5 linked regions of the Danio rerio genome follow. The protein of the gene in region 2 interacts with the protein of the main gene of each other region in a pairwise test. Links are inferred from orthologs where the notes say so. Each region holds a gene or a part of one and is shown on either strand. Other genes may lie near its edges.

Evidence for each region.
Region 1: the proteins of lmo3 (region 2) and banp interact in binary tests that used the Homo sapiens proteins (3 or more experiments, as listed by UniProt). The link is inferred for Danio rerio from reciprocal best matches to the Homo sapiens genes LMO3 and BANP.
Region 3: the proteins of lmo3 (region 2) and wwox interact in binary tests that used the Homo sapiens proteins (3 or more experiments, as listed by UniProt). The link is inferred for Danio rerio from reciprocal best matches to the Homo sapiens genes LMO3 and WWOX.
Region 4: the proteins of lmo3 (region 2) and bend7 interact in binary tests that used the Homo sapiens proteins (3 or more experiments, as listed by UniProt). The two-hybrid records come from large-scale screens. The link is inferred for Danio rerio from reciprocal best matches to the Homo sapiens genes LMO3 and BEND7.
Region 5: the proteins of lmo3 (region 2) and pelo interact in binary tests that used the Homo sapiens proteins (3 or more experiments, as listed by UniProt). The link is inferred for Danio rerio from reciprocal best matches to the Homo sapiens genes LMO3 and PELO.

Annotation. Positions count from the first base shown.
Region 1 is NC_133200.1:32,863,717-32,868,283, reverse strand, and holds part of banp (protein BANP), read right to left. Parts: intron 4,259-4,567; coding exon 4,059-4,258; intron 2,035-4,058; coding exon 1,936-2,034; intron 1,526-1,935; coding exon 1,362-1,525; intron 1-1,361. UniProt on the Homo sapiens protein: Controls V(D)J recombination during T-cell development by repressing T-cell receptor (TCR) beta enhancer function. Binds to scaffold/matrix attachment region beta (S/MARbeta), an ATC-rich DNA sequence located upstream of the TCR beta enhancer.
Region 2 is NC_133179.1:13,189,066-13,194,400, reverse strand, and holds the start of lmo3 (LIM domain only protein 3), read right to left. Parts: upstream 3,469-5,335; 5' UTR 3,264-3,468; coding exon 3,206-3,263; exon of another isoform or gene 655-3,205; intron 552-654; exon of another isoform or gene 357-551; coding exon of another isoform or gene 329-356; intron 1-328.
Region 3 is NC_133200.1:39,687,747-39,692,313, forward strand, and holds part of wwox (WW domain-containing oxidoreductase), read right to left. Parts: intron 2,566-4,567; coding exon 2,380-2,565; intron 1-2,379. UniProt on the Homo sapiens protein: Putative oxidoreductase. Acts as a tumor suppressor and plays a role in apoptosis. Required for normal bone development. May function synergistically with p53/TP53 to control genotoxic stress-induced cell death.
Region 4 is NC_133193.1:9,562,743-9,566,904, forward strand, and holds the end of bend7 (BEN domain-containing protein 7), read right to left. Parts: intron 3,659-4,162; coding exon 3,545-3,658; intron 3,381-3,544; coding exon 3,339-3,380; intron 2,013-3,338; coding exon 1,965-2,012; intron 1,886-1,964; coding exon 1,836-1,885; 3' UTR 840-1,835; downstream 1-839.
Region 5 is NC_133187.1:13,775,007-13,780,227, reverse strand, and holds the start of pelo (protein pelota homolog), read left to right. Parts: upstream 1-2,152; 5' UTR 2,153-2,260; coding exon 2,261-2,301; intron 2,302-5,221. Other genes in the region: ppp1cab (protein phosphatase 1, catalytic subunit, alpha isozyme b), read right to left, coding at 1-105, 197-328, 1,438-1,492. UniProt on the Homo sapiens protein: Component of the Pelota-HBS1L complex, a complex that recognizes stalled ribosomes and triggers the No-Go Decay (NGD) pathway.

The sequences.
Region 1 (4,567 bases), on a different chromosome or scaffold from region 2:
CATTTGTTCATTTGAAACGAGCCACTAAAGCAGACCCCCTAAAATATGGCACCAATTTAGACAAGCTTTATCATTTACAGATCTCTCAATCCAGACCCCTATTATGAGAAATCATGTTTACTCCTTTGATTGCAGATGCTACATTTAATTGCTGGATAGAAAAAGGACTCATCACACTGAACGATTTATGTAGCGATACCAATTTCATGTCCTTCGACCAAATAAGAACAAAATACAATATCCTCAAAACACATTTCTTTAGATATTTACCGATCCGCAGTTTTATGATTTCTAATACAGTAGACTTTCCAACTTTACCTAGAGAAACATTACTTGACACCATTTTAAAAACCAACCCAGTTCTCAAAGGTATTATAGGTGTGATTTACTCTTTTATCTCCTCACAAAATCTAACTTCAGTACAAAGTCGAAACAATTAAAAAATGAACTTGAGTTGATTCCCTCAAAGGAAATTTGGCAAGACATTATATTTTATTATTATATTTATTGTATTTTAGGTGTATTACGGTAGGGGAAATCGTGAGTGAGGAAGCTGATCTCAGAAGCTCCAGGGAGTGAAATCTAAGAGAAATTAAGATTGTGAATAAAAATAAGAGTTATAAAACCTTCCTTTGGCTTAATTTCCACTGTTTTAGGTCTGTTTTAGATCTTGACTGAAAGAAGCTTTATTTTTATGATTTGTGTCATTGTGTCAGATTGCGCACCCAACATAGTAGGCTACCTAATATGGTGTGTATTTGGTATAGTATGTATATTTATTTATATATATATATATATATATTTATCGCAAAATTGTCCGCAAATTTCTATGAATTACCACCACACAATTACTAATTTTTGTCACTAAAAATAGAGAGACTAAGCACAACCCTGTTAGACCAGGGGCACAAAGCATATTTTTCCATCCTTAAAATAGCAAAAGTGGACTTAGACATGCCCTTGATGTTTTTGCACCATGACCTTTAGACTTTGCGCCTAGATCATTAAAATAGAGCCCATGGTGTTATTGAGGAGGGATATGAGAAAGGTTATGGAAAGGTTTGGTGGTCTTAGTGGGTTTAAGGGTGGGCTTAGGTGTAAGAGATGATCAACAGTATAAGTATAAATATATTTACAGAAATGATCATCATTTTTAAAATATAACTACACTGTAAAAACATCCATGTAGATAATAATTACACTGACCCAAAATGATTAACTGAAATGTAAGTACAAAGTAATTAAGGCCATACGATATAAAGCGGAACCAACATTTCAATAGGAATTGTTCTAGCTCAAATGCACTTAGTTATCACAAAGGTCATTTTAAGTCTTAAACATCCAATATTTGTAAATCTTACCCTCTGAGTTAAGAGTGATGAGCGTTACATTGTTGTTATTCTGAGGCTGGCCGCTGTTGGACACCGAATCGCTCGTTTCCGAACCACTTTCCTGATCATCCTGAATCTCCTCCTGAACTGGAACCTTCAGTACTATGGTTTTCTGTCTCCCTCGCCCTACAGTACTGCAACACAAAAATACAAAGAAGACTTACAGCGCTTTCAGATTAGCACTTTTGGTCCTCACTCGAATTCGTTTGACTTCAGAGTACGGTACGTTTAGAGGTTGTCGTTGGTACGGTTCGTGCAAACTCTGGTATGGTTCACTTCTGATTTGAATGCATTCGTACCAAATAACTGAAGTGAACCGCCAACTGTAAAACAAACTTTAGCACCCTTACACTGACAATTTTATGTGAAGAATGTGTATTATTTTACACTACTTTTTATTAACCAACATTTGCAAACAATAATACATTTCCTAATAAAAAATTTTGTTTATTTTTTTTGTTCATTCTCGTAAAAACATTAACTAAAATGAACCAATGGAACCTTGTTGTAAAGAGTTGCCAAAATATGAATGTGTAGTACTCACTTGCTGAGCAGATTTTCTAAAGAGTCTGATGTGCGTGGCGAAGTCTCCTCCGTCTTCGCCCTGTCTCCACTTACTATGACATTTGTCTGGGGAACAACACTAGGAAAAAAAAACTCACTGTTAGTGTCAAAATAAATAGTTGGCATGTCTTTGTGGAGTTTGCATGTTCTCGTGGGTTTCTCCATAGTCCAAAGACATGCGGTATAGGTGAATCAAATAAGCTAAATTGGCCGTAGTGTATGTGTGTGAATGCGAGAGTATATGAGTGTTTCCCAGTGATATGTTGCGGCTGGAAGGGCAACTGCTGTGTAAAACATATTCTGGATAAGTTGGTGGTTCATTCCACTGTGGCGACCCCTGAATAATAAAGGGACTAAGCCAAAAAGAAAATGAATGAATTAATGAATGAATGGGCAAAAACATTTTAAAAGTGTTGCAACCTTTTTTAAAAAAAGCCTGTTTTAATACTAATACTAATAATAATACAAAAATGAACAAATGCTTAATATGCAATGAAAACAAACTGGGACTTGTATTATGATCAGGGTCTCTGCAGATATCATAATGTCAAATTTAAGACCTTTTAAGACCTTTTTAAGACCATTAAGTATTAAATTTAACACCTATATCACAATATCAGAACACGCGAGAGAAAATGTAAAAGCACAAAATTAGGGCTAAAATAAAGTTATTTAAATTGAACAGTAGTAAGGTCAGGTTAAATGCACCATTGAACTACAGAAAAAACACATCTTAATGCAGATTTATACTTTCACCTGGCACCGCATCGCACAACTCACGAAACGGATTAAGGCTTTTGTACTTGACACGTTCACCATTGAGATATGTTTTTTTAAATGACAGGGGGCGGTCCAAAAGAACAGAAAGTAAAATCAGACGAATAAAAAGATAATCATTATCATTGAAGATGTTTTTGGGGGCCTCTTTTTTGTTTTAACAAACTTATCCCTCGGAGTTTTTCCAAAGTTTTACAAAAACTTTCCTCCTTTCCCATGGCTGTTGCAATTTCTAGCCAATAATTATTGGTCATTCTGGCAAGCAGAAATGTAACTGTGATAGAAAATAGGTAAAAACTTGATTAGGTATTATAGCTTACTGTACTATTCACTCTTTAAATAAATCCCACTATAAATCCTATTTTATCACTAAAATAAAGTGAACTAGTGTCTGCTGTACAGTGTTTTGTGAAGTACAGTAAAGTACTTCAATTACTCTGTTGTGGTAATACTATAGTTGCTATGGTAACACAACAAGTGTATTAAAAACAAACTACCCAGTGCTTTATTTATTTTTTTTTACAATATAAGGTATATTTTTCTAAAATTCACCACACTTTACAGTAGTAAAACTACACTGTATTTCATTTTATCAGTTCACTATTCTTAATACTACAGTATGCTGAAGCATCTCTGGAAAAGCACGAAAGGAGTCCGGCGGAGCGAGAGCAGATAATTTGCATGTGAGCAGCCAGTGTTTTGAGAGCTCGCAAGCAGTTTTGTCCATGAACAAAGGAAACCTGCGCGTGAGCAGAGATTCGCTCTCTCGTATTACAGCACTCCTGACTTATAAAACTGCGCTTGCGACATTTGTCAGTGAAATAACGGCATACTCTGCCAGCCAAAATCATGTCGCACGCACTCAAAGCGAACTTCCGCAAACACAGCGATGATGTCACATCCGCCGCGCGCACTGAGTTTAATATCAGAAAGCTGATTGGCTATCGCAAGTTGACTTTTTTTGTGGTTGTAATAAAGCAAATTACAATTGGACTAGTAAAATAAAGAACTACAAAACCCCAAAAACCTAGCAACAACAACAAAAAGAATTTAAATAAGCATTAGATGTAGCGTTACATGGACATCGCAAAAATAAGACCTGTGCAAAAATATTTAATACCTAGAACAGCGAATTTAAGACTTTTTAAAGCCATACATATCGATTTTTTAATTTAAGACTTTTAAGACCCCGCGGGGACCCTGTTGTCATTTATAACATATGTTGTACGCCGTAAAAACGGGCAGAAATAAAGAAAAAAATAAACAGAACCAACCATTTAATGAATGGTGCTGGTGTATAAATCACATGACCTATGGTCCACTTACCAGCGTACTTTGTCACAAGTCTGAGTGGCTCCGAATGGGGACCCGGACACCATGGGTACTTGAATCGTTGACTGGTTCTTGCCCATCACTGTGTCCAGTTTCTCCACTAAACCTCGACAGGTCACCTCAAGAACCTGCAGCTTTGCTTCCATACTGTCCAGCCGCTGGCAGATCGCCTGACTGATGGATATCAACATCGACTGGAGAAACAGAAATACAGAAATTGGTAAAATATCTAATTATATTTAATACCAGATGAAAATGTCATTTATTGATAGATGAGACCCACATAACCATCAAGATTTTTGCACACTGTTGAAGTGTGTGAAAAACTTACACCTGAGCAATTCATGTGACTTCATTCTCCATACAAGAGGCGTCTTTAAGCTGCCATCATTAAAAAAAGCCTTTTATATAAAGTATTTAACACGTTTTAGGCAAGGCAAGTTTATTTATATAGCACATTTCATACACAGTGGCAATTCAAAGTACTTTACATAAACAGGAAT
Region 2 (5,335 bases):
TTATCAACAATAACAAGAAGCCAATGTAGCTAACATCCTCCTCTTCCCCCTCTTTAGGGGAGGGACCAAAGCTTGCCCCCAGAGCAGGCATTGTGTAGCCCTTTACAGGGCGTGAAAGGGCTTTGTTGGGTAGAAAGGGAACAATGTGGGCTCATGCTGAAGGCCCGTAATTAGTATTCTCCCTCCATACAGAGTAGAGTAAGCTGTACCCCACTTCCCCCCACGCCACTGCTCCTGTCCCGGCCCAAAAAGTTTTTGTCCCACATTTTTACAAGTACGTCTGATTTTGCCCCGTTGTCCTGCTTCTGCGACAGTCCCCATTTCTCACCTTGTGCAGGAGAAGCTGTCAGAGCCATAGATTCCACCTAATGTATATGCTGCTCTTGGAGGGGGTGAGAGCGCAAGCAGTGAGAAATTGTGAACTTTGAGTGAGAGGGTCACCGAGAGATTTCTCAGCTGTGGTAAATTGAGTGTCTCTGTCTGAATTGAGGACCTCCCTCGGGATAGTTATAATGCGCTCGTCGCCACGATGCGTTGTCCAGGCAATCTCGCTGAAATACATTCATAGAGGAATATGAGATTAAAAAGCCTTGTTTGGACTACTTGACAAGAAAAGTGTTAGATTCTGCACACACACAAAAATCATTTACTCACCCTCGTGTCATTACAAGAGCTTCAGTGTTTGGATGAAAAAAAGTAAAACATGCAATGAAAGTGAAACATCCGTAATATCAGCTTTCGCATTCTACGGAAGAAAGGGTCTGGAATGGCACAATGGTGAGTAAATGATGTTAGAATTTATTTTTGGCTGCACTATCCCTTTAAATAGTCGTGCATGTCAACACTTTTGCAGACCATTAAGACTCTTCCATAGCTAACAGAGAGAGAGTTTGCCGCTTCTCTTTTTTTAACATGTGGCCTTGACGATAATTACTTTCAAAAATGATTTGCCAAAAGCGTGGCAGTTGGCCCTCACAGAAAATAAACAAGACAGTGCACCAATTAGTAAGACTGAGGACAGGTGTGAAATTGTTTCAATTCAACTGAGCATTACAATGCAGGGAAAGGAACAGCAGGTAGCCGATCCCTCTAGGGTCATAATTATAGCCTAGAGCAAATATCTGATGCAGTACCATAGGCTTAGACTGTGAACAACTTCTTTCTGCTGTAAGACCATGCTCGTTAAGATGTAGGAACATTCAATGAAAACGAGGCAAGGGATAATGATGATTCCTTCGACCTCACTGGCGTTTTTATGATGCTTTATTTTGAGTTTATTCAAAGGCGAGGGCTTGATGAGGGGAAAACAGCAAGGAGGCACATCAGACAGGTAGCACCGCCGCACTGTTTGTCCCATTGTGTTTAAGCTGTTGAGCTTTTAATTGGCTGGATTGGATTGTAAGAGAAGCACACGGCTGATTTCCTCTGCTATGCGTCCTTGTTCAGTCCCACTCATCCGCACAGCCCTAGCTCGTCTGGTTAACACAACAAAGTCACCGCCTCTCATTACCAAGCTAAAGAAGTTAGAGTTTCGACTCCCCTCCGTCTGCAATCACTGTTAGTCCCAAATGAATCGATTGTGAAACAAACCAACTAGACCTTCTATTCAGAGCTTGGATGCCCAATTCGGTGTTCTCTAATAGGAGTGTGGGATGTTCATGGCCTCATCGATTTTGTTATTTCAAATAGTGAACAAAAGATTATTCTAACACGAGGATTGGGCCAGGGTAGGCATTTTATAAACACAAAAACTAAATGATTTTGCCACTGATGCAGAAAAACTGCCCTGAACCACACTGAGACTGTTTTCTGCACTTAGCATGGTCATTTTAGTTCAAATCATGAACTCATGACTCGTTTGAACAAGTTCTTATTAGTGAATCGGAATCATATAGTTCGATTCTAGATTCAGGTTTCGTTTTCGTGAATATGAAACATACCGGTTGAACAGTACAGCCTAAATCCAAATCGAGTTACCCTTATGAGTCGGTTGTTTTTAGTGAATCCGAGACATGCAGTGCTAATAGTGTAGTTTGACTTTTGAACAAATGACTCTTGTGAGCCGATTCTTTTTAGCGATTCAAAATTAGGGAATCATTGGAGCTTTTCCTGGAGTAACATGACGGTTGGTTGAACTTCTGTTATTATTACTTTCGTTATGTTCCACTTGAAATTAAGAAACAATTATAACAGTGTAATAGCCCATTTAAAGCTTGTGAGGTGTAATACTTACCGAATGTCATTTATTTTTATTATAGGGGTATTTTTATAATCAGTATCAGGCTTGGTTTTATTTTACTAAATGGATTAAGCCTTGTCACAGTTTTTTGTTACGTCACAATTTTTATTTAGCATCTTTATATTGGTTAAACACGTCACATTTGACTGCATTTCTGCAGCTCTGAAACGTGACATCTCATAAAGTCTGTATAAACGCATCTTTGGAAAGAACTACAATACATTTCTTATATGTTATATAAGTTTATATAAGGTTTAGCCTATATAAAATCTGCATGGATCTCATGGTTTGGCAATAGATGTCTAAGCAAAGTAAATACAATACGAAGCTCAGTTCAGCATTTCTTCATCAGGAGTGCTAAAAGCAGCATTAACGGAACGGGATCGTTACGCACGAAAGAATTCGCAACTAAAATCGTTTATGTGCTACTCATCCCTATAGGCCCGGGACATTGGTGTCTTTTTTGTCTTTGCTCACTCAGATATTTCATCATGTCCCGTTCGCATAGTGATGCTCTTTGTGCGCTTCCCTGTTCGCGGATACTGATGGGGGAAATTTCGAGGCGAGACTTGGCAAACACCGGGCGCAAAGTACCAATTTGATTTCACATCACAGCTGCGCGAGCCGGAGATGCTGACATTTCACCCTCTTATCAGTTTAATTACTGTTGCCATGGCAGCCTAGTGCACGGAAAAGGCCAATAAGATTTGCAGCTTGCAAAACGACGAAATGAAACCGCTAACGTGTTAGAAACGATGATACGCGGCGACTCACCACAGCCCGTTATTTACAATTGTCTAAGCAAACCACGAAAATTCACACCGGGGAAATGAGACAAATGCGTCGGCTCGGTCAAATGCAGCTGCACAGCGACAAAACTACGCATGGAAACATCCCAAGTACTCAGCCACTCGTTTAACCAAACCATCACACACACACTGATATGATGCAAAACGCAGCTCTTACCGAAACTTTTCTCCCTTTTCTGCATTGGTTGACCCGCTTCGGCTCCCAGAAACACCATGCAACAAGACGAGGCGCGAGCCAAAGATGCGCGTGAAGTGAGCAGCTGTATGCGCGCGAGGGTGCTTCGCTTTTGTTACAAGTAACAATCCAGCTCGCTCCGGCAGAAAAGAGTGAAAACGACGAAAACACCAATCAACAAAACACGGGAGGGAGAAAGAAAGAGCGAGCGAGCCGCTATCGCTCAGCGCCACACGCTGTTAAGACTCCGTTTGTCACAACAGTGCTCGACTATGAAATTAGATCGACCAGCAGCCGTGGCGAGGCAAGTGGCGGCGAACAAATGACAGCGGATGACAAAGGCATATGCTTTACCCCTTCGCGCGCGCCGTAATCTTATAATCCTATCGTGCCTCTCGCTATTCGCCTATTTCAGTGCGCTACAGTAAAAGGCACGAAGTTGGATGTATACAAGAGACAACATGCAGGAACTCGCATATACTAAAACGCAATCAAGCATTCATGAACTGCATATCTTCTGATTCGTGCCACATTTTTAGGATATAAACACGGATGCAACCCAACAGCTTTCGCAATCTCTTTCAAGCTCTAGAAATGCACCAAGTTCCTCTTATTCAATAACTTTTGTGTTAATAAACTACATGCATCAATCCCATGTTACAGTTTTAAGCATATATCACGTTTTCTGTGGTTTGTCACTGAAGTCACAGAGGAATAATTTGTTTTGTTTGTTTATAAAATATTTCAGTTTTCTTATAAAACATTGAACAATTTAATAATATGAATGCTTATTTACTACTATAACAAACCTTTTGTGGAATGGAAAGGTTACGTGTAAGTTAGACGCTTTTCATTAAACCACTGATGCCCATAATGAACCCATATTTACTCTGAATATCTGTTGTTAGTTCCTGTCATGCAGACAGATTGTGTAAAAACAATCGTTTTGTGCATGCTCCACAATGTGCATACATGACAACACACCTGGCTTTTTGCAGGATTAGTTTATTCTGAAATTAATTGAATCACGTGCACAAATGATCCGACGCATGCAAACCTGAAGCTTAAACACTAACGATAAAAGCAACCCCTGTTCATTAAGCAGTACGTGTATTTAACTCCAAAAGAAATACAAGAAATGCGTTCGGTAAAGACAATTAAAGCGGCGCACACTCACCTTCTTGACCAAGTTACGCAGAAGGTTAAGTTAGGATAGCACCGACTCCAACTCAATATTCCTCGGAGCAAAAGTTCACGAATCTGACATTGCACCGCGGATAAGAGTGATCTTCAGGTTAAAAATAATGAGGTCCACATGGATCATCTACGAGTAGTTGTTCGCACCAAAAGCTACAGGTGTTCTCGCGCGAGCCGTCATGTATTGAGTATTCTGAGAAGGCTCACAACAACTTGCCCATCAGTGAGTGAGGAACGAGGAATAGTGAAGCCTAGCTTTATTATCTTCAAACCCAATCCCTCACCAGTGAGACATTACACGAGGAGGAAAAGGTCATTCGGTTATTACCGACAGCCGGAGTAACGGAGCGCGCGCTCGCTAACACAAACTTAATGCGCACCTCTCTGAGACGCGCGCGAAAACATGCTATGAGCTCTGTACTACACGTTTACACACACACACTCTCTCTCTCTCTCTCTCTGTCACTCTTTGTTTTAGCAGCTAGGCAACAATTTCGTGCTGCTACATAGTGAGAGCAGAATAGGTCTGATTAATAAAACATTTATGCATGCATATGCATGTCTGTCAGTATATGGACAGCTGTTTGTGCACGTGCGTCTGTTTTACTCTTAATTATCCTAATGCAAGCAAACACACTCTGAGAAAAACAAAAAGAGATTCCAATTACATCAACAACAACAACAACAAAAATGCTTTTACGCATTAGTGCCTTTATCAAGAACCTTGAGTGTCACAAATAACTTTTATTTCTGCGTTTAGTTTGAAAAACAGGCATATAAGATGCTGCAATGGAGTTAAAGTGCTTGTAGAAAGTGCATATAATTTAACATATTATGAAGAATGTAGGATTTGATGTCAGAATAAGGAAAACCTAATATCAATTTTTTTTAATCTACAAAAAAGCTCAAAATGGC
Region 3 (4,567 bases), on a different chromosome or scaffold from region 2:
GAATAAAGTCGTAATATTACAATAATAATGTTGCAATAATACATAAAGTCATGCTATTGAAAAAAAGGTCTTAGTGATACGAGAATAAAGTTAAAATATTACGAGAACAAAGTTGTAGTGATATGAGAATAAAGTCGTATTTTTTTCTGAATACAGACTACATTTTAGCAGAATAAAGACGTGTGGATACGAGAACAATGTCGTACTATTACTTTAATAAAGTTATACTGATACAAGAATTGAGTCGTAAAATTACATGTATTAAGTCGTAGTGATATAAAAGTAAAGTTGTAATATTATGATAATAAAGTCATAATATCACAAGAATAAAGTCGCAATTACACATCAATAAAGTCATAATATTACAAAAAATCAGGTCTTAGTGATATGGGAATAAAGTTATAATATTACGAAAACAAAGCTGAAGTGACATGAGAATAAAGTCGTAATATTCATTCTTTTTCTTTTCAGCTTAGTCTTTTTATTTTTCTGGGGTCGCCACAGAGGAATGAACCACCAACTTATCCAGCACGTTTTACGCAGCGGATTCCCTTCCAGCTGCAACACATGTCTGGAAAATAAAGGTTGTAATATTATGATAATAAAGTCACAATTTTATGAGAATAAAGTAGTAGTGATACAAGAATATAGTCATAATATTACGAGAACAAAGTCGTTATACAAGAGTAAAGTCGTAATGTTACAAAAATAAAGTTGCAATAATAGATGAATAAAGTCATCCTATTAAAAAAATAAGATCTTAGTGATACGAGAACAAAGACATAATATTACAAGAACAAAGTCGTAGTGATATGAGGATGAAGTCGTAATATTATGATAATAAGGTAGTAATATTATAAGAATATAGTTGTAGTGATATGAGAACAAAGTTGTAATATTACATGTATAAAGTTGTACAATTATAAAAATAAAGTCTTATTAATATGAGATTAAAGTCATAATATTACGAGAACAAAGCCGTTGTGATACAAGAGTAAAGTCATAATGTGACAATAAAGTCGTATTATTACAGTAATAAAGTCGTAATATTACATGAAAAAAGTCGTAAAATTACAGTAATAAAGTTGTAATATTTAATTGTAAAAACTCAAAATAACAAAAATAAAGTGTTATTAATATGAGATTAAAGTCCTAACATTACGAGAACAAAGTCGCAATATTATGAGAATAAAGTCAAAATATTACAAAAATAAGTTCTTAGTGATACAAGATTAAAGTAATAACATTACGAGAACAAAGCCGTTGTGATACAAGAGTAAAGTCGTAATGTGACAATAATAAAGTCGTAATATTACATGAAAAGAGTCGTAATATTACAGCAATAAAGTCGTAATATTATATGAAAAAGTCGTAATATTACAGTAATAAAGTTGTAATATTACATGAAAAAAGTCGTAATATTACAGCAATAAAGTTGTAATATTACATGAAAAAAGTCGTAATATTACAGCAATAAAGTTGTAATATTACATGAAAAAAGTCGTAATATTACAGTAATAAAGTTGTAATATTACATGAAAAAAGTCGTAATATTACAGCAATAAAGTTGTAATATTACATGAAAAAAGTCGTAATATTACAGCAATAAAGTTGTAATATTACATGAAAAAAGTCGTAATATTACAGCAATAAAGTTGTAATATTACATGAAAAAAGTCGTAATATTACAGCAATAAAGTTGTAATATTACATGAAAAAAGTCGTAATATTACAGTAATAAAGTCGTAATATTACATGAAAAAAGTCGTACTACAGTAATAGTCATAATATTAAATGAAAAAAAGTCGTAATATTACAGTAATAAAGTCATAATATTACATGAAAAAAGACTACCCAATCATTCTGGAGGACCATGTGACCCAATGGATCAAACATTGTATCCCGAGGGCAGTGGTGTGTATCAGGACGATAATGCAGCAATACACACAGAAGGACTGGAGACAGTAGATAGAGATAGATAGAGTGGTCTGATAAAGATAAAAGTTAAACATCTCCTATGGCCTGCACAGTACCCAGATCTAAACATTATTGAGCACTTCGGGCTGTTTTGGAGGAGCGAGTCAGGAAAGTTTTTCCTCCAGCAGCATCAGTAGTGTCCTGAACACTATTCTGAAGAAGAACGGCTCAAAATCCTTCTAGCCGCTGTGCAGGACTTGAACCTGCCACTTGATGGTGTATTGAGGAGCTACACCAATGAATTCCTGTGCTCTAAAACCAGGTGCTTCAGTTTCATTGTCCAACCCCTGTATTTTTTGCAGTGTCCTCAATATCAATCCTGTGCATGTTCATCATTAAAATACAGTGTATAGAATTACTGAATATCTGCATACGTCTGCAGGAATGATGTGAAATGCTGACCTGTGGGACTCGGAGGAAACCACCACGACCCGTGCCGGAGCCGAGAGCCGCAGGACGTCCTGCAGGAGCTGCACCAGGAGGAAGTGGCCCAGGTGGCAGATCTGAAAGGTGGATTCGAACCCGTCCTCCGTCAGACGCCAGGGCTGTGAGCAGACGGCAGCGTTACACACCAGCACATGCAGAGGCCTGAAAACACAGAAGGAAAACACTCTTATTCTGAAGTACAACATAGACAAACTATAAAAGACTACAATTAACAAATACTATAAAGATTTTAGCCAGTTTGGTTTTGCTGTAGTGAATACGGAACAAAAATTTAATCTGAATCAGATTAAGACGCGCACATGATGAAGTCTAGTTTATAATATCAACTGCTTTATCTGAAACATTAATTCCTAGTTGTTCTATCCATTCCATTTTAATATTCTCTAGTGTTACGTAACGGAATGTCATAATCAAGTAGTACATTTTGCAAGGCCTTTGTGGTGTACAAGGGTCTTTAAAATTAAGTCCAGTCCAGATTCAGCAGGCATTTGAGGGAATACAGAGCACTGGGTCTGAAGAAAGTGATGAACCTGGAGGTATTGAAAAAAGTCTGATTTTTTTTAAAAATTCAATTTTTTACTCATGTCATTGAAATTGGCAAAAAATATTATCTCTACATGGAAGTATGCCCAGGTCCTGCCCTCTCTTAAAAGGTAGTGTAATTTTTTTTTTTTAAGAAAAGTTTTATTGAATTAAAAAGCACATGTATACAGCTGTATTTTGCTTGCTTTGACACATTTTAATTTTTTGGTGTGGTCAGAGATAAAATTGGTAAATCCTTAATTTTGATCCCTGAGGAGTCATGTAAAATAAAAACTAATTGCGACAACCCATTTGCTCATGCTCATTGAGCAAGCTCATACACAACACACACACAAGGTGAAATGAATGAGGAGGCATGTGGACATAACACAAAATCTAAATCAAGTCATTTTAGGATGCAAAAGTCAAATGTATGCATATAAAACATGTTTTCCCAACAACAATAGTTTGGCTAGTGAAAATAGCAAGAGGCTAGTAATGTTGGAAATCTACTAGCCACAGTGGCTGGTGATCCAAAAAGTTAATGTAAAGCCCTGTATACAGATATTTAGGTTTGGTTTTGCATTGAAGGACGATGCAAAATCAACTTTTACGCTTAAATAAACAGGATTTGCTAAGAAACTGGGATGAAAAGATCTGTTCCAACCCTCTATGATCAGCTGCAGCTCAAGAATGAGTTTGACCATTTTAAAACGAGAAAAGACAGTAATAAAAATAAAATAAAATAAAAAGCCGTTTAAATTCATAACCAACTCAGCTATAAACGGCAAGGTATACGTGTTTTAATTGATGTTATTCTGTTATTTTTGTTAAAACCATGCAAACTGTATATGGTTTAATCTTGGTCAGGACACTCTGGTAAAATATTTTTAATCTTATTGTGCTTTTGTCCATGGCAAAATAAAGGCATTAATAATAATAATAATAATAATAATAATAATAATATATAATAATAATAATAAATATAATAATAATAATAATAATAATAGCAATAATAATAAATATAATAATAATAATAATAATAATAATAATAATAAATATAATAATAATAATAATAATAATAATAATAATAATAATAATAAATATAATAATAATAATAATAAATATAATAATTATAATAATAATAATAATAATAAATATAATAATAATAATAATAAATATAATAATAATATTAATTATTATTATTATTATTATTATTATTATTATTATTATTATTATTATTATTATTATTATTATTATTATTATTATTAAATCTTTTATAAACAAAAGCAAAACACACACACACACACACACACACAAAACAAAGCAGAGCACAAAAACAAAATATATATAAAAAAAGGAAAAACTATGAACCACAAACAACACCAAAACCCATAAAGACCAACACCAGAGTAAAACGCAATCTACACTAAATGAATGATTTTGAAGAATTATTTAATTGTAATTATTTCCTGAGGTCAATTGTTTCTCCATCATCAGGCAGAAGGACAGAGGTGTGTGTGTGTGTGTGTGTGTGTGTGTGTGTGTGTGTGTGTGTGTGTGTGTGTGTGTGTGTGTGTGAAGTCCAGGCGAGATCTTTGGTTTGACAGAGTCGCTCCAT
Region 4 (4,162 bases), on a different chromosome or scaffold from region 2:
CATGATGTTGAGTTTATATCAGCGCAATTTTATATCAGCACAAAGTTATCCTGAACAATTCAGCCTTTTTTTCATGTTATTCTGAGGTTATTTCTTGAAATTCTGATCATATATTTGACAATTTGGCTTATGCCATAATTCTGTGTTATTATCTGACAATCCTGTTTAAGTTATGCAGTGCTAAGTCATTTATATATCAATATTCAAAGTTTATTTCTCACAATTCAGAGTTCAAATCCTGCAATTCTGGAATTATATCTTGCAACACAGAGTCATTATTGATACATACCCATATACACATTTATGGAGAGCGCAAATTACGTCCCAGGAGCTACGTTTTTTTGCAGTTTTCGCAAATCCGCCAGAGGCAGCTGTGTATTTTTTTTTTTAGATCTCAAATTTCTCTTACAAGTGCCATTTGCATATGCTCTTCTCACATAAATCCACCGGAGGTCGCTGTTGACTGACTGACTGAGCGACTGATAACCCCACCCACCCCATCCCTAAACCCAACCGATCTGCTTGTTAAGTCATGACGTATCTGTTACATATGGAATACTGCTTCCGGGTCCAGGCCGCTACTCATTTGAATTGAGAAAATATTCGTTTATGACCACTTTTTAGTCATATCACACATTAAAGTGAATTTTACATAACAAGACAGTGTACACATCAGTCTCTGGACTTGCTGCATCACAAATGAACATTTTTTTTAGCAATTTATAAAACATTTATCACTTTCTGGCCATTAAATATTAGGCATGGAGATATATATATATATATATATATATATATATATATATATATATATATATATATAGATCAATCGTGATTTTCGAAAGTATTACAGCGCTTTGTAAACATTTATTATTACTATTTGATCATTTTCCCCATTCTGTTAGATCCAGCACTTGGACCTGGAAGCCGCTTCGCGTGACGTCACACTTAAAGATATAGACTGGCCCATCCACCACCTCCCTAAAATCAACTGACAGTGTTCCAAAACCATTCCAGAAAAAGAAAAGCCCTCACTCCTGCTTGATTTTTACCACGTTTTCAGATATTCCCACATTCTTACCCTGTTATTTATTTGTTTATTTTGTTTATTTGCCAGTTTGTTTATTGGGCAAACTGGTAACAGCAGAAAAGTCGTCCACACGAAGGTGATGAAAAGAAACAGAAGCAGTAGGCGGCATCATACCGCCCTGTAGCATTCATTTTAAAGGTGAAATGCAGCTATACGTAGCTCTAGCTACATACTTAGTGCACTCCAGAAATGTATACGAGGGTACATTTTCACAATGAGCCTGTGTTGCAATTCTCAGATTATATCATGCAATTTTGTTCCCTATAGTTATGAATTTATATCAAACAATTCTCACTTTTTTCTTGGAACTGCTGGAATTAAGCCATAATTGTGAAATAAAACTAGCAATTACATCTGCATTTTTATTTCATTGGAAACAAGCTTACACTTTCTGTGGCTTGGCATGGCAGAGTGAATTAAAGGCACAGTCATCTCTTATCAGCGTTTCTGCTGATATTTGTTGGCGAAGCATTTGGATGAAGCTTAAAAACGACAAACACTTTCATATATTCATAGAAGACACTCAGTGACATCTGGACGACTCACTTTTAAAACGAACATGAATACCTGTTACAAAAGTGTGTCCACAGTTGTCTGGAACGCCAGCAGGGGTCCTACTGATCTCACAGCTGACCGTGAGCACTTTGCCACGTCTTGCCATACATGCTACAGTCTAGACGGACAAAATAATTAAAAATGACTCCTTTGTGGGGGTCGGAGGTTGCATTTTGTTGAAAACAATCTCGTCTCAGGCAGTGTCCATAGCAACTAGACTTTCTGTTCTCTCAAAAGCAGCACCTGCGGTACAAAAGAAAGAGTTTCGTCAGAACAAAGGCACATTTGGAGTGCGAGATGTTTAAGGTGTGCAATGCAGTACCATTTAGTGTCACAGTTTCCACTTTATCAACAGTTTGCTGACATTTCTCTAAAAGATAACAAGACAAGGATGATACAATGCAAGAAGGAACAACATTCCAATGCATTTCAACATCAGTTTGCTAAATCTTTTGGTGTTGCAAAGAATGCTGGGATATCATCAGGTTAGAGACACTCATTCATTTGATGGTGTGTTCCAAATGGGACATATCCCACCCTAAAGGACACATAGAAGTGAACATAATCCTGGCCGCCATATTGAAATGTCATTCCAAAGTGAAGTGCTCAAAACTTGCTACTTCCAAGGGGCCTTTGGAATGAAGGGTTTTAAATAATACCTGATGTGTGCCTTTGAGCAGGGCAGTTTTTTGGTGTCACACACTGTACTCAATGGGGAAGAGTTCACCCCTATCCTCTTGTCCCTTCAGAGGGACCCTCGGAAAGGATTAGGGGATGGGGATGAGCCCTTCCAAATGGAAGCCAGTTTGAAGCACTTACAGCTGAACCAATTGCTTCGAAAAATGATTCACTGTTTTAAAATGTTGAAAACACCCCATCCTGGAGACACCTACTGGTCAAAACCCTGTAAATGCAACTAAAACAGGCAAAACATGCATTAAAATGAGCTTTTCCAATCACACTGCACACGCTATTTAATGTATAACTTATAAATGCATTAGCTTATCATCTAATATCATTAAATATTAAGTATTTGCATAATATGCGTTACTTTATAAATTTTCAACAGTTATATTATTCGTTTGTCGTGGACTCTATTAATCAGGACAACAAGAGACTATTAACTAATATTATTACTTTTCATTTTACAAATGTATCACTAAAATTGCTACAAACTCGTAAAAGTGAAGTTGTTGACACCAACAACTTAGTGGTACTGTGCGCTGACATGTAGCACTGATGTGCTCACGGGGACCTGAGTTTGATTCCTGGCTCAAGGTCCTGTGCCGATCCTTCCCCTGTCTCTTCACTCCCAATGCTTTCCTGTCTAAAATCTTAACTGTCTTATCATAATAAAGGTGAAACCCCCACCCCCACCAATAAGTTGGCGGTTCATTCCGCTGTGGTGACCCCAGATTAATAAAGGGACTAAGCCAAAAGTAAACGAATGAATGAATGTTCAGTGATTCACCACTGGGGGGGCGATCTGAACAAACTCATATTAGTATTACTTGTCCCCCAAAGAAAAACCATAACATTTTCTGATTGTTTCAAAACAGTTATGATGTAACAAAGCCCTGTTTCTTCAAATCATGTAACTTTGCCAGTTTGATACAAACTGATTCGAAACAAAAATTCAGGTTTTAAAGCTTCGAAAGCAGCCATCACTAATGTTTGTGTCAGTGTGTCTGAGTACCTGTTTTGAGCTGGATATCACTACTGTCTGAGGTGGTCTCTGCTGCAAAACATTTCAGATAAATTAAGTAAATTAAGAATTTGATGAAAAAATTAATAGTATTAAAATTATTTTTATTATTTTTTCAACTATAATTCTAGAAGAAACAGAAAAGTTACAAAATTTTCAGCGATTTTGTTTGTTTTACGCCATATACATTTTCTCACCTCTTTTTAAGCGTCGACGGGCAAGTTTAATCTGATCTTGCAGAATCTGGACCCAATCTCTTGGGCCAGGAAGCTTTTCAATTCCATTGGCAGTGCAATACTTTTCTGTGAAAACTAAACACACACACACACACGCACGCAAGCACGCACGCACGCACGCACGCACACACACACACACACACACACAGACAAATGAGTTTTTTTCATTTACTGATCAAATAAGAAAAGAGGCCTTCTGGCATCAAAACAATAAATGATTAAAGCATCTTTAATTTTTGGGCTGTGTACATTGAACTGGGTACTTTAATTATGTTTTTCTTTGTTTGTTTGCTTGATTTTTCAGAGCAAAGAATAATTAATACTACTTTACAAAAGACACACACTAAAATGTTCCTCAGACAACAAGAACAGTTTATATACTGAAAAGTCTTGTAATGCATATTTAGGACAAGATAGATCTGATGGGGCGACACGGTAGCTCAGTGGTGAGCACTGTCCTGTTGCCTCAAAGCAAGAAGGTCTCTGGTGCCCGGCTGGGTCAGTTGGCATTTCTGTGTGGAGTTTGCATGTTCTCCCCGTGTTCGCAGGGCTGGAAGGGCATCAGCTGTGTAAAACATA
Region 5 (5,221 bases), on a different chromosome or scaffold from region 2:
TGCCTCTGTCAACATAGTCTCCCAGAAATAGGTAGTTACTCTCTGGTGGATATCCTCCATACTCAAAAAGCCTGAGCAGGTCATAGTACTGACCATGAACATCACCTGCAGTGAAGATAGATAGATTTCAGTTAGTTAAGCTTGTTTTGCTCAACTGAAAATTTAAATCTGAGTGTAAAGGCTATCAGATCTTTACCACAAATCTTGAGGGGTGCCTCCAGCTCCAGTAGTATTGGCTGACTAAGAAAGATTTCTCGAGATTTTAGACACAATCCTCGAATCTCTTGCTCAGTTAACTGAACATTTTTACCAGGTCTTGAGCCCTTCACTAGAAAAAAGAAAGTGAAAAATTATTATAAAATTAAAAATGAGTATTTTTAATTATTATTATTAAAAATTATATTTTTGACAATGAATTAACAATTAAAACATTGTTGGATGTTAATTTTCACGTATTAGAGGATCTTTAATTCCTTATGTCTTTATTCATACAGCAATGCTTATTAATTAGAAAATGCAAGTATTGTTTTCTAAACAAGTAAATTTACTCCACAGCCATATTGAGCTTAAATAAATAAAAAGCCTCAAAGGCAAGTAAAAATCTAAAAGATAAGAAAATAATCATTTATGCTACACCTTGCAAGTATTTTTTTTTTATTAACCAGCTCTTTGGTTGTTTCACATTTAGTAGGCAGTCTTAAACCACCTGATTTAAAGGGCAAATGCATTATCCAAATGCAGGTTGCAGATAACAAACAGATATTTAAAGAGTTAAAAGTAAATATAGACCTGTCTGTGATCCAAGTGCAGTGAAATCTAATTTTACTGAAGCTTGCATCAGAAACAACAATCATTTACTGCGGGGCAGCATATTCATTTACAGTAACAATAGCAAGGCTCAGACATTTACCTTTATACATTTTACCGTTTCATCACAATTCATTTGGACAGACAGACAGACAGACAGACAGACAGATAGATAGATAGATAGAGTTAGATATTTATTTTTAGGTTTACTGCTGTTCACTTTAAGGTTAACTAACGCTAATATTTACTGGAAAGTATGAAGAAGGCAAATGAGTTGTATATAATCTAATTTCTACAATACAACTATTTCTTTTACCTGAATATCCTAGTCAAAATTTGGCATAAAGACCTATGACGACATCTTAGTGGGATTTTAAACGCGACGACAAACGAAATGCGCATGCGCTTAAATATAATTCGGATTATATGTAATAAATATGCCAATTATACAACAGTATTTTAATTACATCAACGGAGATATGCATTTAACTTATATATATAACAATACACAGTCATATATAGACTTGACTGGAGACGACAACGACCACAAGTAAAACTATATAACGTTACTCGTTCAAACACTTATTTAACATTATGCAATATACATCAACAAGAATTCAAGTTTATTACCTTCCAAAAGGCGCTGGATGATCGAATCGATGTTTATTTTGTCCGATTCGGCCATTTTGTCGCGCGCTGGAGATTAGCCGGCTAACAGTGCCAGTAACGAGACCGCTGGGGAACCCGCCCAATACAAATTCACGACAATACTTTATAAAAACGTCGTTACAAAAGAGTCATACTACTGTTGGTATTCCTGAGTGTACTTTACAATGTTATTGCCGCGAATGGTCCCTCCGGTAGTTCGTTGTGTGAGGTAAACTAGCACCACGACCGTTTACGGTTGAAGGAAACGGTAAAGGGGTGGGGGTAGACATTAAGCGCGTGTCTGATTGGTTATTCTCGTCTCATGACGAGCCTTCAAACATGAGATCTGAAGAGCCAATAGGATATTTAATGTGTCAATCTTTTTCTATATAATTCGTCGAACTAAACACGGTGTATAATCTCAGATTCACAGGATAATCTTTTTGAAACTGTAATCCTCGTCATGATGGACATGCTAAATCTTCTTAGGCTGGATAGTTAACATACTTCATTAGCAACGATTGAAATCAATTCAGAAAATGTCGCGTTTAAACAATATTCGAAATATAAAGGAATACGTTCTTTCAACCCACGGAAGTAACCATAGATAGAAATGACGTGGTGACGCAATCTATCGGCCAAATGACGTGATCAGAGAGCGACATTGCGAATCGTCTGATTCATTCTAAAGTAGCAGAATGTGCTATTGCTGAGGCGGAAACGTTACCAAAACAGACTATTAAATAGAGTAGATTACTCATTATCAAAGATGTATTTTGTTTTTGAATAGTTAACCTCATTGACCATGAAGTTGGTTCATAAAGACATCGAGAAGGATAATGCCGGGTGAGTGTTTGTGAACACGAGTCTACATGTACACCACTTTTGGGCATTATATTTACCAGTTGAGTGGGGTTGTAGTGCCATGATGCGATGTTGGTATTATATGACAATACAATAGAATAATCGGATACTTTTGTATAAATGAAACATGGTGGCGTAATAACGGATCTTTTCTGTTTGTAGAACCGACACCATTATAACCCAAAATGCTGGCTGTATTGCTTACCCAGTGTTGTGTTTTCAAACTTGGCAGGATTGTTTCACATTGCCACAGCCCCAAAATTGCGTTTGCCTTGCTCGTAGCGCCCCCCTTTGACCACCTGCGCTTTTATAGCCCGGTGTTTTCAAACTGGGGTCTTTACGAGGACAAAGAAGGGTGTGTAATTTTGTTTGGAAAATGGAAAAGATAAGATAATTTAGTTAATGAAATAATATGCTTAAAGTAAATGACAATTTTAAGATAATCACACGGACTAGTGTAATATAAATAATTGATATATAACAGGCCCGTAGCCAGTCTGGTAAAGGGGTCTTTTTTCATTTTTTTGCAGTTATGCTTCTCGTTTTCTGTTTAATTATAATATTTAAATACGGCATTTTAACATTTAAGCATTATTTTTTAGGATGGTTACCACACTTTTTGATATACCAAAAATATTTGCTAAAGATTTGGAATAAAGAAATGTAAAATAATATATTTTTTAAAATATTTGTATTTACATATTTATCACATCGTATATTACTAGAAAAAAATAGGAATCTGTTTAAGTTTTTAATTTAAAAGCTGTAGTCTATTGTCATTTATTAGGCACATAACAAACTGCTCAGCACATTAAACAGTCCTTAGTTAGAATTTGGCCATTAGAATAATAATAAAAAAATGAATTAAAACATAATAATAATTATATTATAGATTTTAACCTAGAGCTTCACAAGTTGTCTTGCCTCTCTTGTAAAAAAAAAGTACATTTGAAAATTCATGGATGACAACAATAGCCAAAATAGTATTCAAATCAATTGTAATATGGTCCACTTTTGGAGCTTTACATACTTTTATTGCTTTTTTTTTTCAAGAATAAGCTCCAAGGTTTAGAATAAACGTTACCTGTAAAATGCTTTCTTTATTTTAAAAACAATGAAGTAGCAAATGATGACTTCTCTTAAAGCAGATTGTTCAGGCTGTCCACGGGGTCTTAAAAGTATTAGAAGTTGATAAATCAATTTACAGAAAATTTAGGCCCTTAAAAAGTAATAAAGTCTTAAATGCTATTTTGCAAGGTATTAAATTTTATATCATTTTTGATTAAGCAATATATGATTGTATGATAAAGTGTGCCTGAATTAAATCTGCGAATACCAGGATTCTGTGTAGTTTGTGAAATCGATAAAATTCTGCTAGATTTTACATCATGCTGCTTTGTTTACTGCAGTAACCAAGGCAACACTATTATTTTTGTTGTTCTATAGGCTGCTGAATTAGCTAGATTTAATAGATTTTTATTGAGTATATAAGTAATGTTTTAGTTTTGGATTGGTTTCTTGCATTAATATTTAGTAAATATATTGTCATTTAAAATATCGGCAGTGTAAAATATCGACGTTGTCCTGTGGGTGCCATCGCATCATCCAAGTGGATGTTACAAACTGGTGGTGGTGTGGAGAGACACCCTCATGATTGTGAAGCACTTAGAGTGTATATAAATACACATTATATTATATTATATTATATTATATTATATTATATTATATTATATTATATTATATTATATTATATTATATTATATTATATTATATTCATGTATGGGGTAAATTCGGGGCCTTCGTTAGTAAGGGGGGTGTCTTCCGAGCCAACCTAATCCTAACCATTTTGAGGGATGTAAACATAATTTCTACAGCTTCCGAGGACCCATACATATTGATAAATATTGTTTTGATGGGTATTTTAACATTAGGTTATGATTGAATTGTCTCTTGTTACAGTTATGAAATTGCACGTTTTTGCGCAGCGCATGCCCTTCCAGCCCCAACCCATCTCTGGGAAACATCCACTCACACACTTCTACACTACGGACAATTTAGCCTACCCAATTCACCTGTACCGCATGTCTTTGGACTGTGGGGAAAACTGGAGCATCCGGAGGAAACCCACGCGAACACAGGGCGAACATGCAAACTCCACACATCCAAAGATGCTTTATAAATTGTCAATAAATCAGTGTTTTTGAAACTAATGAAGACAGCAGAAGTCCACGATTCACTTGAATTATTCAGCCTAATATGTTTACTTTCCTAAAATATTTGAAAAGTTTCTCAAAATAAATACATTGTTTAAAGGGGGAAAATGTTTGTTTTTTTACTCAGACATTTGAAAAGAATATGTTTTAGAGCATGTTTTATGCCTAGTCTCAGATAGATAGAGTTTTTCTTAAGTTTGTTTTTCTTTTAAACCAGGGGTCTCAAACTCAATTTACCTGGGGGCCGCAGGAGGCAAAGTCTGGGTGAGGCTGGGCCGCATAAGGGATTTCACAAAAAAAAAGTCCTCAAATGTCATTATTAACAGTTTTAATTATTTCTTCTGAACATGAAGTGTCCTGAACATTAATAGAACATTGAGTGAAGATTATGAACAGTTCTTCTGAACATGGCATCTTTTGCCTATTTCTTGCTGCCAGAGACTTGACAGCGCTTCTTCTCACAAATCTGAACCACATTTGGCTTTAGAGCGGAAGCAGTTGAGACCCTCAGTATGGCTTGAAGATGATCATCATTAAGTCTAGACCTGTACTTTGACTTATTGAAGTCCTAGGGAAAAAAGTGGGGGAACTCACTCAAAACTTCCATTCCCTCACCTAAAAAAAAGGCGTATATATGTATAAATAAAACACCCCCACCCCACTCCAGTCACATCAGTCTGTACCAGTCT